Lytechinus pictus: one gene and its partner. The protein of the gene in region 1 interacts with the protein of each later gene in a pairwise test. Links are inferred from orthologs where the notes say so. Each region holds a gene or a part of one and is shown on either strand. Other genes may lie near its edges. The genes, in order: Golgi to ER traffic protein 4 homolog B-like and ATPase ASNA1 homolog.

The links.
Region 2: the proteins of Golgi to ER traffic protein 4 homolog B-like (region 1) and ATPase ASNA1 homolog interact in a two-hybrid assay, tested with the Caenorhabditis elegans proteins (2 studies listed by BioGRID). The link is inferred for Lytechinus pictus from reciprocal best matches to the Caenorhabditis elegans genes cee-1 and asna-1.

The regions. Positions count from the first base shown.
Region 1 is NC_087254.1:10,475,055-10,483,078, forward strand, and holds the start of Golgi to ER traffic protein 4 homolog B-like, read right to left. Parts: upstream 3,081-8,024; 5' UTR 2,913-3,080; intron 1-2,912.
Region 2 is NC_087255.1:4,858,794-4,866,681, reverse strand, and holds the start of ATPase ASNA1 homolog, read left to right. Parts: upstream 1-4,737; coding exon 4,738-4,865; intron 4,866-7,888. UniProt on the Caenorhabditis elegans protein: ATPase required for the post-translational delivery of tail-anchored (TA) proteins to the endoplasmic reticulum. Recognizes and selectively binds the transmembrane domain of TA proteins in the cytosol.

The DNA of each region.
Region 1 (8,024 bases):
AAAGGTAAAAGAAGTTTGAATGAAAAAAAAATTAAGGTAAATAAAGAAATTTGTAAATGAAATTTGACAGCATAATTTGAAAATTATGGCAAAGATAATGAAAAGATTAAGAGGAGGTCTGCTTATTGGCCAAAAGTCTAATCATCAAATTTCTCATTCCTGCGATTTTGGCGCAAGCCTCTTTTTTGAACCCCCGACAAAAACGTCCCATGTTCGCTCAAGCATAAACAAAATATATTTTTTTTAATTGCATTTCAAAGATAAGATATCAGAGCATCTATTAACATCAAAATATAGATATGATTTTAAACAAAATTTTTATAGACTTTTCAAAACTGTCCCGTTTTTTTTTATACGCACTGTATTTTAATAACTTCAACCCTTAAACTACGGAGCTATTAAACTCATCGTGCATTGACCTGTAAACCCTCTATATGTTGCATTATTTTAGCAGTGAACCGTTCTACCTGGTATAATACTCTGTTAGTTAAACAGCTATAACTTTTATCTGAACATTTAGAAAGGAAATGTTGTGAGGCAAACTTGTAGTGTTTGGTGGGTTTTCTTGTCATGTATGAATTTATTGCATTACGAAAGAAATAAAGCATTGCAAATAATTTTTTAAAAACATTTTCTTCTTACATTTTCAACAAAAGTGTAGCCCTTTATTTTGGTTCTTGGGTCAGTGGCGTGATTCTATTTTTGTATTCACCTGGGCAGTCTATCACAGACATGATTCTAATATCATTGGTAATCTGACAAAAGTAGACCATACTACTGTGAATAAATAAAAGAGAGTAGATCTTCGACTAGTCAAAGAAAAAAAAGCACCTCTTTCATACAGGTGTCATGATCTAGTCCTAACTCCTAATAACAATGAACCTGACCTTGGTATTGTTTGTGAGGAGGATATAATTGATTCTTTTCTCTCCTTTTTTCAATGAACTTCCTGGGTCAGCTGAAGGATATATTGATTTATTTAACATGTAAAGAAGGTAGATAATCTGATTAATCTCCCACTAAGTGGTTTTGAAAGCAAATGTATATAAAACAGAACAAAACTCTGAAAACTACAATTTACCTGGACATAGAGGCATCATTAGGGGAATGCGCGGTTGTGCAGAAATGCGAAATATATAACACGCCTACAGACGTGCAATAATGCAAACGGAATGCATGAAGAGTTAAGATACAGTATATTGAGGACTTGGAGGCATGAATGGTCCAAGGAGATTTTTCTGACATTCTTGTTTTCATATATGATTTTTTTAACATTTCGAAAGTTAAGAAGCAGGAAAATCCTGACAGGTCAGCATATGCTGGCTTCTGGTGTTAAGAATGAGATTATGAGACCGAAATTGAAATCAACAGAATCAAGACAAAAAAAGGTTTGTGTTCTTGTACTTTGCTACTTCGTCAGCTGGAGTGAAACTAAGCACATATCATAATCTTCAAGGAAAATGAAACCTTTGGAACAAGATAGCTTGTGTGAAAACAGAAAAATCAAAGAAACAGATCAACAAACGTTTGAGAATAATTGAATGAATAATAAGAAAGTTATGAGCATTTGAAGTTTAGATCATTATTGTAATGTATATCCTCCCATTGGCAATGCGACAAAGATGTGTGATATCACATGTGAACAACTTTCCCACTGCTTTTGTATATATTTCACTTAAAATGCCTATTTTATGACATCTATCAGTAGATCATTAATTCTTTCTATGGGGCTTGTAATACAGATTTTCAAAGAATATATTATGGATGAAGGGTTTGTATCACCATAAGAGCAAAAAGATACATTTTTGGGGTATTTTTATAGTCCATCAAAGGGAAAGTTTTTCACATGTGACATCACACATATCTGTCGCATTGCCAATAGGAGGATCTCCGTAGCATTAGTGATCGCAATATTCAAATGCTCATAACTTTCTTATTATTTGTCCGATTTTTCTCAAACTTTCTTTGATTTTTCTCTTTCCACACAAGCCCACTTATTCCAAGGGTTTCATTCCCCTTTAACAATTTTGAATACTTTCACCATTATTTGAGCAAATTTCATAAAAAACTAGATGAAACAATATAATAATTCTGTTGGTATTTTATAGTATCATTCATTGTAGTTTGATAATAGAACCGAACTTCCGAAGAGACAGTGGACGCTGAACGACGAGCTAATGACAGCCAAGTCACAGACACAGCTCACTCATTCAATGAACAAGTTGTTAAGGCTTTTTTTTAGCGTCCATTGCTCTTTCGGTTTTCTTATATTAAAGTTATATATTGTTTTGCTCTAGCGTTCTGGTCATTCATGCGATTTTACTCCCAGGCCCATGAGTGCATGTCAAAAAGCTTCAGTAGACTGAAGTATGTCAGTTTTTAGACTATTTAAACATTTTTAATATTTATTTATGAAATCAATATTCGCCTACCATCCCAAGCGTGTTGTTTGTAATAATCTTAATGTGTGCAGGGTGGTTGGTTTCAAAAGAGGTGGTCGATATGTGGTGGACTCATGCAACCAGTTCCAGGCCAGGCACTTCCACATCCACGTTTTTTAAATTGTTTTTAAAAAATAATTTTATTGCTGCAGCGCAGCGTAGCTCAGCGCCTCAGGCACACCGCAGGCAGCGTGCGGTCATGGCGGTGCAGGCTCAAACCCCCCCTCTTTGATATGATGGTTTGAATTGCATTGCACAGGAACTAAGTTCCCAACCCGAATAAAATACAGCACGTTAGTCAGTGGTCATTTTGCTCGTGTGCTATCTGAATACTTGTATCACGGTATTGTGATATTCCCAGCTTAATTGTGTGCACAAAAAATTGCACACGAACATGACGAACACGATTGTATTTTTTACTTTAGTTTGAAGATCCTAAGCTGAGTTTGAGCAAAACCAGACTGAACTCACATTTACAACACGTTGTTGACTCCGCGGGACCAGGTAAAAATATGAAATGTTCTCTCACAGTCTTTAAAAATTCTTGAAATAATCGAAGAAGACATCCGGTGGAATTTCGAGACCCTTCCAAAAATGCACCACGTATTAGACCATAGGCGTAACGCGTAAGCCATATAGACTTGATGACAGGCCGTATATTTAGCTGAAGAAATATCGACTCAGTATTTACATGATGCAGTATATAGATCTACGCATATTTACGACTGGTTATTCAGTTTACGGTTTTAGGGAATTTCCCAAGGCTTGCTCCTGAAACGCTCACCATACTGGGCCTGGGGCGGAAAGGCGATGTTGAAAGTGGGAGGGCTGGGAGGACTTTGGGGGAAATGGGGACACTTCGGGACACTTCCCCTTTTGAAACGGGTACTATCGGGGCACTATCTTAAAAAAAAAAAAAATCATGCCCCACTCTAAATGAGTCAGCATATTATTTTGTTGTAATGTAGGAGCATGTGGGATATGGGCAGAGCGGAACGTATTTCGTTTGGGAGTATAGGGCGGACACTAAACGGACACTTAATAGGCCCAATGTACACGATGTAAAAAGAAGGAAATACCGGTATTTCATAACAACTTCAGGAACGAAAATGATTTAAAAAGATTTATTTCGCAATAGGCACATTCACTTTTAAAAAAAATCCCTGCATATGGGATTTTTAGGGGCAAGTGCCCATGCCCCCTGACCCCCGGTTCCACGTATACTGCCCATGTAGAATTAAAAAATAGTATACGTGTGCTTAATTGAATTGCCCTGTAACAAACAAGAAAAGAAAATTAGGGGCGTTTCTCTCTCGTAGTTTGTAGTTTCATATATAGTTTTTTTTAGCATTATATAATTTATTCACGGCGCTATAATAGCTTCATGGTTTATTTCAAGTATTTCCATTGTAAGCAATTTTGGCCATTTTGGCCTTATGGGAAAAGCGCCATATAATTAATAAGTATTATTATTTATCAATGTAGATAGGGGCATATATGGGACTTAAAGGGACATACTGCAGAAGTTGGCTTTAATCATAAAAATAAGGAGCTAAGAATGGGCACTTAGTAAAAAAATGTTCAGTAATACAATATAGGAAATCGGATGGTCGCTAATGAATCTATCTAAGAGGGTAGACAAGGGAAATAACAATTAAAACTGATAAGAATCCCCAAAATGGCAAATTATAATTACGTCAATTAAAAAAAAATCAGGTCGCGCTTCGAGCTCACATTAATTATTCACCTAGTCCTTATGCAGTACCTATAGACTTGTTGTAGAAATAAACAGAAATAAAGTAGAAATAAACATTATACACTATTTGGTCTCAACTGCTATACACCCCCTTCCCACCCGGGCTTCCCACTTGCGTAGAGGCTTGGCCGGGGGCAGGGGCCTCAATCCATTTTTCAGATGGCGGGGGGCAAAATCATGAGTCATAAATCAACATTACAAAATTAATAAAGGCGCTTGATCGCACAAAACAATAAAACTCACACACACACACACACGTTTCTGGACCCATGAAGATAAAACATGATTCAACAATCAAATAATGCGAGCGCGAGCAGAAAATTTTTGTCATTCCGACCTAAAAACTGGAAATTCTTGGCATTTTTTTAAAAATCATGAACAAGATAGCTATATAACTAAATAATTGATGCAATCACGAAGCGCAACTTAGCGGGGGGAAATTGACAGTTAGACCTAAACATGGGACACTCCAATAATGTTTTGGAAATCATGAAAAGGGTGGGTAATTTGGTATCTTCCTACATTAATACCTGGATTCTGGGCATTCTAAATACATTTCTTTTATCATGAAAGTCATTAATGCGAGCGCGAAGCGCTAGCTGAAAAAAATTATAATTATTCTGATCTGGATCTGAAGAAGGGTCAATTTATGCAATATTTCAAGCACGTGTGATGTAGGGAAATTGTGAAGTGGAAATGGATCCCAATGAATTAATGGTATGAGCACGAGGCGCGAGCTGATATGATTAGTGTTATTTTGATCTAATCCAATCATTTTTTATAAGCCTAATGAGAGCGTGAAATTTGTTGATATTAAGGCCTGAAAACTGGAAATTTTAAGGACTTTATTGATGCGAGCGCAAATCTCGAGCCGAAATTTTTTATCAACTGTCAAGGTAAAGTTTTTTTAAAAGTAGTTTGTTAGAATTAATTTAGAGAGATACATAACTCACCTTGATCTACATATGAACCTATGAAAAGAGGGGCTTGCCATTATTTTTTTTCCACAGGGGGGGGGCAAATAAAAAAAAAAAAAAAAAAAAGGGTCTTCAACCACAAATAAAGGATTTCGTACCAGAAAAAAATTTGACAAGCAAAAAAAAAAAAAGGTCTTCAAGACTCGTCAGGGGAGGCAGGGATATGTCCCTTGCATGGGTTGTGACTCGTCAGGGGGCAGTCTGCCCCCTCTGCCCCCCCCGTAGGTACGCTAGTGCAGAAAAGTATTCTAGGCCTATATGATGAGATTCCTGCGTAAATGTAGGGCTTATACCTTAACAAAACTTGCAATGATAGATGGAATCATTTCCCGCGCAGACTCATGATTTTGTACTGTACTAGATCTATAGATGTAATAAATCTAAATTTTATATTGTGCTCGGTTAATGTTGCTGATTTCTGTGTTAACATTACAATTTAATTTTATTTTTGCACTTACGGAATTATTAGGGCAAAACGATATGCTAGCTTGTCACCCCAATATTTTCATTAGTGCCCCCCCCCCCCAGGATCGGCGCCTCGGGCCGGGACCCTAGCTAGCTAAACCTCAAAAAAAGTTTCACGGCCGGAGAAAAAAAATTAAAAATCGGGGGAGTGTAAAATATGATTTTAATCATGTCATAATCTATAACACAAAATCATACTTTTTATTCAAAGAATCTAAATTTATGCTCACTTGCTTTGCTCACTCACTGATTTGAAAAAAAATTAATTTTGCTCTTGAACGCCATTATGTCTGGCCCACGTACCCCCACCCCGAAAAAAAAAGAAAAAAAAAAAATCATTCACAGAGATCGAACAATACTAGTAGTACTAGTCACTAGCGTACCTAAGGGGGGGCAGAGGGGGTAGACTGCCCCCCCCCCCCTGACGAGTCACAAGCAAAAAAAAGGAAGCGAAAAAAGGGAAAGAAAAGAAGGAAAAAGGAGAGAAAGAAAAAAAGGGGAAGGGGCAAAAGAAGAAAGAGTTTAAGAGAAAGGGAAAACAAAAACTCGACTGCAGACTGTCGGAAAAAATGATAATTGTCGGGCACACGGGGCTGTTCCAACTGATTCGGTTTTTTACTTCCACCATCTTTGTCGGTAAATGTCAATTAAACTGTACACTTTTATCGGTAAATTGTGATTTTTACGCAATGCGACTTTTAGAGCTCTCTGTACCGATAGTGAGGACGGACTGGGCTGACCAGGGACAGGAAAAATGTAGATAACAACTTTTAGGTAATATAATTATAACAATAAAAAATTCGCTCGCGCTACGCGCTCGTATCAATTTTTTAGTTGGATACCTTAGATAAATGTCTAGTTTTCAGGTTGAAATATCAAACATTTTCAGCTCGCACTTCGTGCTCGCGTCAATTGATTAGTTAGAAAGCAATTTGTTCACAGTTACAAAAAGTGCTTATAATATCCAGTTCTTAGGCCGGAATTTTAAATATTTCAGCTCGCGCTTCGTGCTCTCATGTAACTGTTTAGGTATAACCATCCTCTTCATAGTTAAATTAAGTGCTTAGAATGTCCGGTTTTCAGGTCAAAATATAAAAAAATATCAACAATATATCATAGAAACCAATTTGTTCACGGTTACAGATATTGCTTAGAATATCAAAAATTTCAGCTCGAGCTTCGCACTCGCATAAAATTCCATCTTGTTCATAATTAAATGAAGGGATGTAAAGTTTTCAGTCCGAAATATCAAAAATTTTCAGCTCGCGCTTCGCGCTCACACCAATTAATTGTTTTTAACTACCATGTTGTTCATAGTTAGAAAAAAAAGGTGCTTAGAATGTCAAGTTTTCAGGGGGGAATATCTCAAATTTTCAGCTCGCGCTTCGCGCCCGCACGACCGTTTAGATATCCATCCTGTAAAACTGCTTAGAATGTCTATATAGGGTCCTGTTAGAAATATCAAAATTTTTAGCTCGAGCTTTGCGCTCGCATAATTTATTAAGGAAGATACCCATCCTATTTATAATTAAGTGCACAAAATTTATCGTTTTAGGTTTAGATTTTCAAAAAAAAAATCAGCTCGCGCTTCGCGCTCGCAATTATTATTTTAATATTATTTTAGTGTAAATTGTTAGGCACGTGTCAGTGAAAGTAAAGACTTTTTTGGGGGTGGGGCTTGTGAAAATTTTTGTAAACAAAAATGTCCCACTTGAAAATCCTTGGTTGGATATAAATGAGTTTTGGTCGTCGGTCGTCAGTAATCGTTGCTGATATCTGTCGGTAATCAAGGTCCTCCACATCCCCCCCCCCCACTGGAAAAGGCCTAGCTATGTCTAAGTTTCAGGAATTATATCCATATAACCAGAGGAATGTGTAAGCAGGGGCTTACACATTCCTCTGGTTATTACCACCCCCTTTCTATCCTATGTACCCGATCCCTAATTCATCCGCCTATCTTTTTCCAATTTCAATTTCCTCAACCTTCTGACATTCCTGCCAGTGAGTGAGTGATTTTCCCCATATCTAGTGATATATCATGTTACTGTCGCATATATTTTCATGTTCATATTTATTTTTTATGAGTGAATGGATGCATTTATTTTTGTTTTTACTGTGTAAATGGAAATAAAACAAAGGCAAATCAATACATGACTATAACTGATTTCAATGTCAAATACCTCTTTTATAACGTCTCCAAATGAGCAGAATTGGGAACATAATGTAACACCTTCAAAGAGGAATAAAAGAAGTATTTTAATATAAACATTGCAATTACCACTTGAATAGAAATCCCGGATAAAAATATATCGATCACGATCCAATACATTTCATTTCTGGAATGATATACCAAAAAAGAATTCATTTGGACAATAAAGTGCGATC
Region 2 (7,888 bases), on another chromosome or scaffold:
AATAATCTTGATTATAGAACCGTGCGTTTTATTCCATCTCTTCCTCCCTAAATAAAATGAAAGATTTTTTTTTCTTTTTCCGTAAAAATGTCTTTTTGGGGGACTGTCATCAGAAAAGAAACATAATTCAATTTTGAAAATTCATAAATTCTCAAAAAAAAATTCACCATGATCGTAAGATCTCTTTGCTTCCACCAAACAATAAGTCTTTTAATTTTACTCAAGATTTCCTAATAGTTCAACATGGCCCTGGGAGGCGGAGGTGAGGGTATAATGAATCACCCCCAAAATTTTCGTTGGGGGTGCTGCGCTGCGTGTGTTATTTTCCACAGGCAGCATCCCCTGGAAATCTGGTAGGTATGATAAATAACAGAAAAGTAATGAAAATGAACGAATTTTTGTAGGACCCCCCCCCCCCTCCTCCCCTCCCCCCCCCCCCCACTTTAGAATTTTTCCACACAGCTATTGCTTGAAATAGTGCTCAAATTCACCCCTTTTCAGATCGGAATTTAAAATGTTTTCAGCTCGCGATTCGCGCTCGCATATTTTCATAACAAAAATGCATTTAGCTCGCATCAATTTTGTACTATATAGTTACATGATTAGGAAGTCCCTTTTTTAGGTCTGAAATCTCAATTTTGTTTCCGCTTGCGCTTGCATCAATTGCATAGCTATATACCTATCCTGTTTATGATTTTTTTAAGTGCTTAGAATGTCCAGATTTTAGGTCGGAATGTCACAAATATCAGCTCGCGCTCGAATTATTTGATTGTTGAAATATGTATCGTCTCCAAGGGTAACTGCAAACGGTCCTTAAAACATGTCCCTTTTCGATCAGGCCAGAACGTATAGGCCTATTAAAATTTCTGCTCGCGCTGATCGCACCCGCAGTAATTATTTGTTGCATATTTAGGATCACAAACATATTTATATTGCTCAAAGTGTTCAATTTTCAGGACAAAGTACATGAAATTACCAAACTTTTTAGCTCGCGCTTCGCGCTCGCACTATATGTTCTTTTATAATAAGATTAAGAACTGTCTGTCATGTATATTTTATTCATATTTATATTCATATATATATGTATATATAATATATATATATGTGTGTGTGTGTAGGGGTGGCCTTGCATGTGTGTGTATATAAAAGAACAATGGATAACTCAATTGTGCCCCCCACCTTTGAGGAGAGATTTCAGCCCAAGTCAGCACCAGCCCACTGAAAAAAAAATCATTTCCATGCAGGACCCTGTAGTTCAAGTCATCTTCAATGATCGAAATATATACGATTTTAATATGTTGTAACCAATTATTGACCGGTATAATATATTTTCATTTCTTTCCTCCATATTTTCAACTTGATCGAGTACATGCATGAGGTCATTGTATACGGAACATAGCAAGCTTGAAACAATAATAACTATATATATAGGCCTATATGTCTGAAACTTTAGGGGAAGTACCCGTAAGTTGGTTTTAATCAGGGGCGGATCCAGGATTTTTTTAAAGGGTGGCACATTTTCTCCGAGGAAAAATTTGACAAGCAAAAAAAAAAAAAAGGTCTTCACTTTCGAAAGGGGGCACACTTCTGTTTTAACGGCATTTTTACATTACAAATTTTAATTGTGCCTCTCAAGGGGCCGGGGGTGCGTCGGGCCGGCTGTGCCCCCCCCCCCCCCCTGTATCCGCCAGTAGTTTTAAGAGTAAAATATTGGTAGGCCTAATTAAAGGTCTGATGAAAATCCACATACTGGCAAAAATAACTGAGAAAAATCTTTATTTTCAAAGGACAAATCCACGTACCCCAACAAAAAGTTGATTTGAATAAAAATTAAGAGACAAATCCAACAAGCATATAGCACGGAAACTTTAATGAATCGGTTGTAAAATAATAAAAAAATTATGACATTATTTAGTTTTGCTTAATTTCACAAAACATTTGCACATATCGTAAATGAGGAGACTGATGATGTCATAAATCACTAACAATTTCTTTTGTATTTTATTATGAAATTGTCTAATTTTCTCCTGCATTAATTGTCAAGTGAAACAACATCCTCCCTGAACTTGTGGAATTATATATGGTTCAGTCATGGTTGTCAAATATTTAACAAATGAAATTTATTGTATATAATTCAAACAATAAAAAAAAGAAATATTGGGTGAAGGACATCATCGACTGTCTCATTTGAATGTCACTGAATTGTGCATTATCACTGTTTCGTTAAAAATAGGACTTAAAAATAACTTATTTTACATCCGATTTTCTGCGTTATGCAAATTTTATTTTTCTCTATAATTTATTCAAATCAACATTTTCTGGGTGGACTTGACCTTTAAACGACACAACGGCCCCTCGATCGATCCACTTTTTATATTCTGAGGTATATAATGCCTATATAGCTATTCCTAAAAAAAAAATTGCATTGGATATAGGCGCCTATATCAGGGCACGCCATTTCATGCACTTTCTGGCTTAAGAAAAATATTTGTATCATCGAATAAAGGATTTATGAAATACGGGGAAGTTACTCACAAATGACATATCCATTAAAAAACTTCAAAATTTCACATCTCTCATGTTGATGTATTTCAGAGCAGGGGGGGGGGGGGGTAATCGGTTTCAATTCCAGTATAGCGCGATAGAGCGCGCGGTATGGAATTTCGATCCTTCAAAAAGTTCAAACTTTTTTCAATTCAATTCAACATTTATTTCTAAAGATAAAGCATTAATACAATTTAAAAAATTTAACAACACAATGGAGGTAGAGCAACTCTGTAAGAAGTGCTAATTGTGACGAGTATACCGGTATACGTGCACCGTTATAAAGTGATATTTAAAAAAGAAGCTTTTCCATATTGTACAAACAATGGACAACTTTTTTTTTAAAGTAAATAGATTCTTTTCTCTTTACATCAAATCTTTTTTCTTAAATATAGTTGATATATATACATATTCTATATGTCAAAAATATAGGTCAATTATTTCGTTGATATTCTGATCAGACTCCTCGACCCCCGCCCCCCTCGATCCCCGAGAATTATTAAACAGCAACAACGACAATCAAGTCGACCATACAGTACAGCATTGCATATGCAGTATAAATAACAACGTCAACATCAACGAACGTAGAGGGCAGCAACACACAAGCGTGTTGCTATTAGGAAGGTCCACTCGATACGCGCATACAAATGAAGTGCGCGAGCAATTTGGTAGTCATGCCAACGAAACCATGATCCGATGCAATACACTCACGGAGTGACAGCAAAATATAGGTAAACTAATAGATTATGACAATAGTAGATTGAAACAATGAAAACAAAAAATATATAAAAAATTAAATAATAATGTACCAAATTCTTAAAATAATATATCACTAAATTATTGTCACAATTTTTTTGTACATCTTCAGTAAAACAGGATTAAGTTCTGTCATAAATAAACCAGTCTGCTAATTTCACCCGGATTTAGCCAAGTCATTTTGTGACCACCGAAAACCTCTCAGAGCACTTTTTTAGTAGATTGTAGAGTTGATTTATTTTCATTTCCTCTTTATCATTATTTTTGCTTGAAATGTTTTTACATTAAATATCATGCTTAAAAATATGAAATACTTGTTCCTGTATTTTTCATAAAATATTACATGGTGGTGACAACAGTTTTATGACTTTGCATATCAATATAATAACAAGTATACGTGAGGTTGAAACGTCTTCATCTAAATTTCGCTGCACCATAATGCGCCTACACAATCCAGTACCGCCTCTTATACAAGCGCCATGGCTGGCATGACCGCGCCGGCGCCCCAGGCCGGTCGGTGCATAGGTAGGGTACGGTGGGCTGCATGCATATGCTAACACAATTTTTTGTAAAATTATGAAATGAAAAAAGTAGATGTGACATAGACCTTCGCCCCTTGATAGTTCGTCTCAAGTCAAGACCCGTCGGAATATACATAGCTCGATAATGAACCAGATAATTGCTGTCTAATATTATGTCTAACGTTAGACTGGGTCTGGGACTTGGCTTTGCTGTTTAGTGGTCGTATTCGATCTTGCCTGATGGATTGCAAAATGTGGGTTGGATTTGTGGATATAGCATAATTATTTTAGATTTTCAGACTACAATCTACACTCTAAGTGAAAATTAAAATTCCAGCCTTGAATATTTATCGTTGCTCATCCGCCATAGTGCCACATCAATGACAGACCAAGTCTATATCTTTCAAGTCCATATCTAGCTAAGTCGAGTCGCGTCGAGATTATCATGCCAGTGCAGTGCAGTCAGCATTATCATTCACGCAGCGCAGTACGCGCACCGAGGTACAGGTGACCGGGGAAGTTTCGGCGCGGCCAGACATCACGGTCTTGGCTCTGGCGTTAGCTTGTGTAGATTTGGTAGGGGCAGCGAAATTAAGCAGAAGAACGGTAACACAAATGTCATCAGTCTATGTATTTTTATTGCCATGTAAACTACAAGAATTATGATTACCTTTTGTTTTACAATTTTTAAAAAATACAAATATGCTAAAAATATATTATTTAACATATTTTCTTGGAGGTTTTATTATCAATAATAAATAGTAAAATTGAACAAACGAAAAAAAATCAACTCTACAATCTTCCAAAAAAGTGCTCTGGGAGAAAATGGTCACAAAATCTGAGCGGAGTGGACCTTCCTAAAAGCAATACTGCAAAGTGTTGCTGCCCTCTACGTTCGTTGGTCAACATTATCAACATGGCCACTTCCATGCCAGATGAAGATCTCGAAACAATGGAACCTTCTATCCGAAATATAATTGACCAAAAATCACTGAAGTGGGTCTTTGTTGGTGGAAAAGGAGGTGTTGGCAAAACAACATGCAGGTGATGTATTTTCCAAGATTATTTCAAGTATTAATGACTCGAATTTTCGTCATGAATTAATCAATTTACCAGCTAAGCCAGGCAGCGCTCCCCATGACAGAGCACAACCGGCCAGCCACCCCGGCCCGTGCAGCCGACGGTCCACGGCCGCTGCTCGCTCGGAAATGAATGGTAGGTCTGCGCTAGCCCACCCATGGCATGGCCATGGGTTCTTTTCATCTCGCTTCTCGCGTGCGAAGGAATATCATATGCACGCGACACATGCGAATATCATGGGCTTTTGCCCAAATAAAATATAATGAAACACTCAAGTTAGGATTTCACATTTTTTTTGTGCTATGGCCTATGCTGACACTTACCGAACCATTTACTCCTTTGGTGACTTCTCTTTGAAGTTCGTTTAGTTAAAAAAAAATGTATTTTATCTTGATCTTCAGTGAAGATTTCACGGAGATGCCCTCTTCGGCTTCGGTCAGCGACGAAATCAATTTTTGGCCTAAAGAGGGTGCGCGATTTATATTCATAATATCAAAGACACGACAAGAGAAAGACTAGGCACCTAAACTATTTTACATGCAAATCGACGCAAGGCATTACCGTAATCATGCCAGTGCTCGGACGGGTAAAGGTTTTTGATGACTTACATGTAGTGGTCTCAATGTAGATGATCAATAAAGCCTTAAAGGAGTGGATGAGCTTATTATTAATTGTTTGCTTTTATTTAAATTATGATCTTAGTGATTCAAATTATAAGGGGGGCTTCATTGTTATTTGTTTTTATTTCATTTCTTATTGAATAAATTATTCATAGTGATTGAAATGATAAGGGGGGGGGGGGCTCTTTTTTATTTATAATAATTTTTATTCTTATCTTAGTGATTAATGATAAAAGGGGAGAAACATGGCTTGTTACATGTAATTCCGTATTTAAAAAAAATCTCATTCTTATAGAGATTGAATTCAATAATAGCATTGCTTTATTCTTTGTTGCTTTTTATCTTAATTTTCATTTATATGTTGTGATTGCATGGAATGATAAAAGGGCTCGGCGGGGCTTCTTGTTTGTTTATTTGTTTTCTAATTCATTTTTATTTTAGTGATTAAAATGGTAAAACTAAAGGGGAGGGTAGGCAGAAAACTAAAGGGGAGGGTAGGCAGATTTTTTTTAATTTTTTTTTTATTGATTAAAAAGGTTAATGATTTTTATTTTAGTGATGAAAATTATCATAGGCGGCGGAAGCGGGGGGGGGGGGACCTGTCCCCCCCCCCTGAATTTGACGATCCCCCCTAAATTTTTTGTTTGTCAAAAAATGTTGGTGGTCCCCCCTAAATTTTGTGGCTTCCACCGCCAATGAAAATCGTTGGTATAAGGGATGTAGGGACAGTGATTTTCCGTTTCAAAAAATTGCCTTTTCCGTTTCAGAAAATCTCAAATTCCGTTTCAGCATGTCAGAAAACGGAAATTCAGTTTCCCCATAGACTTTGTACACACGGAAAAGTGACAATTCCGTTTACACATTGAATAGCAAAATCACAACACGTGCACTCGCACTTGTCAAAATTTGTATCTGCTACTGTACCAACAACACAATAGAATCCGTTCTAATCGGATCTATGCGGGTGCATAAAATATTTTTACAAACCCATTTAGCATGCATACATCCTCACCTTTCACATTATTAGCATTATTTCACGGTGAAATGATATTTCATTGATAATTTTGGGGTTTTTTGGACATCGTTATCGTCAGTCAGCGGCTTTTGCCAATCCGCCATCTTGGATTTTAAGACCACGATATCGTGCTGTTACATCTTCAAAACGTAGAGGGCAGCAACACACGACCGTGTAGTTGAACGATGTGTGCATGTGAAGCCAAACCCGGCCGGCCGGCCGGATACGGGTACAAGTGTGGGGTACAATCGAGTGTGCTGATGTCGAGTGCAGTCACGACGTGTGAATTGTCATGATATTAGCGAAGTGAGATCGTGTTTTCTAGGGTTTTGTTGCCATTTAATATTCTCATTTTGTTGTGATTTTGGAGTAATTTCTGTTGCTATCAGTCAGTCCGCAAGCCCTGAAAAAGTAGCTTCCTTTATCCAAGTGATATTCATGACAAGAGGGTTTTTGCATAGTTAATGAGCTTGGTGCGAACCAAAACACCTCTTTTTATTCGGCCATTGCTGCTCTAAATATTGACCAAATTTCATGTTTTTGGTATCTTTGTAAAGAAGAAGAATCATTCTTTCAGGTCATGTGTTTGGATTTTTAAAAGAATGTTGTAATATAGGAAAAACTTTTGATCTAAAACATGAAACAAAATATTTTTTTTCATGCAACAAAAGTTGTTGTTTTCACACTTAATTTCTGTTTAGGCACAAATGATTTTTAAATCATGATAAAGCTGAAGATCTAAGCTTTAATATGATATAATTTTCATAAGAAGATGTATTTTAGATGGGTCAGCAGCCAGCTTTTCATAGGCCAAGTACATTTTGCAGCTCAAAAACAAGAATACTGCGCTCTGATTGGTCATAGACCACACACCCACGCAAATTCCAATGTTCCCCACACTGGGCCTCTGCAAGGTCACACTCACCATGTGGTAATCTCTTCAAATTACCCGCGCCTGTTTGTTTTGAAAACAGTATTCAGCCAATCAGAACTCTGGATTTTATGTTACTCAGAAATTTCAGAAATCTCGTCTTGCATCTTGATGGAAATAACTGGCTGCTGACCTATCTAAAAGATGCCACATATCAAGAGTGACATTGTAAGAAAGTATAGAGTTTGAGCTTTCTGATGATATAAATAATGTTGGTGCCTAAAACACAAAAATGTTGCACAATTTGCAAGTGAAAACAGAGGAAGAAAATTCTGTTTGATGCATCTTTTCAGGTAAAAAATTCACTTATTTATCAAAATATTTCATTCAAAAGAAATGACCAATATAAAAGGGTAACATTTACTCTTGCCCATGGTACAAAAATAATCAATATTACTCAAGGAGAAAGTGGTTAAATTCT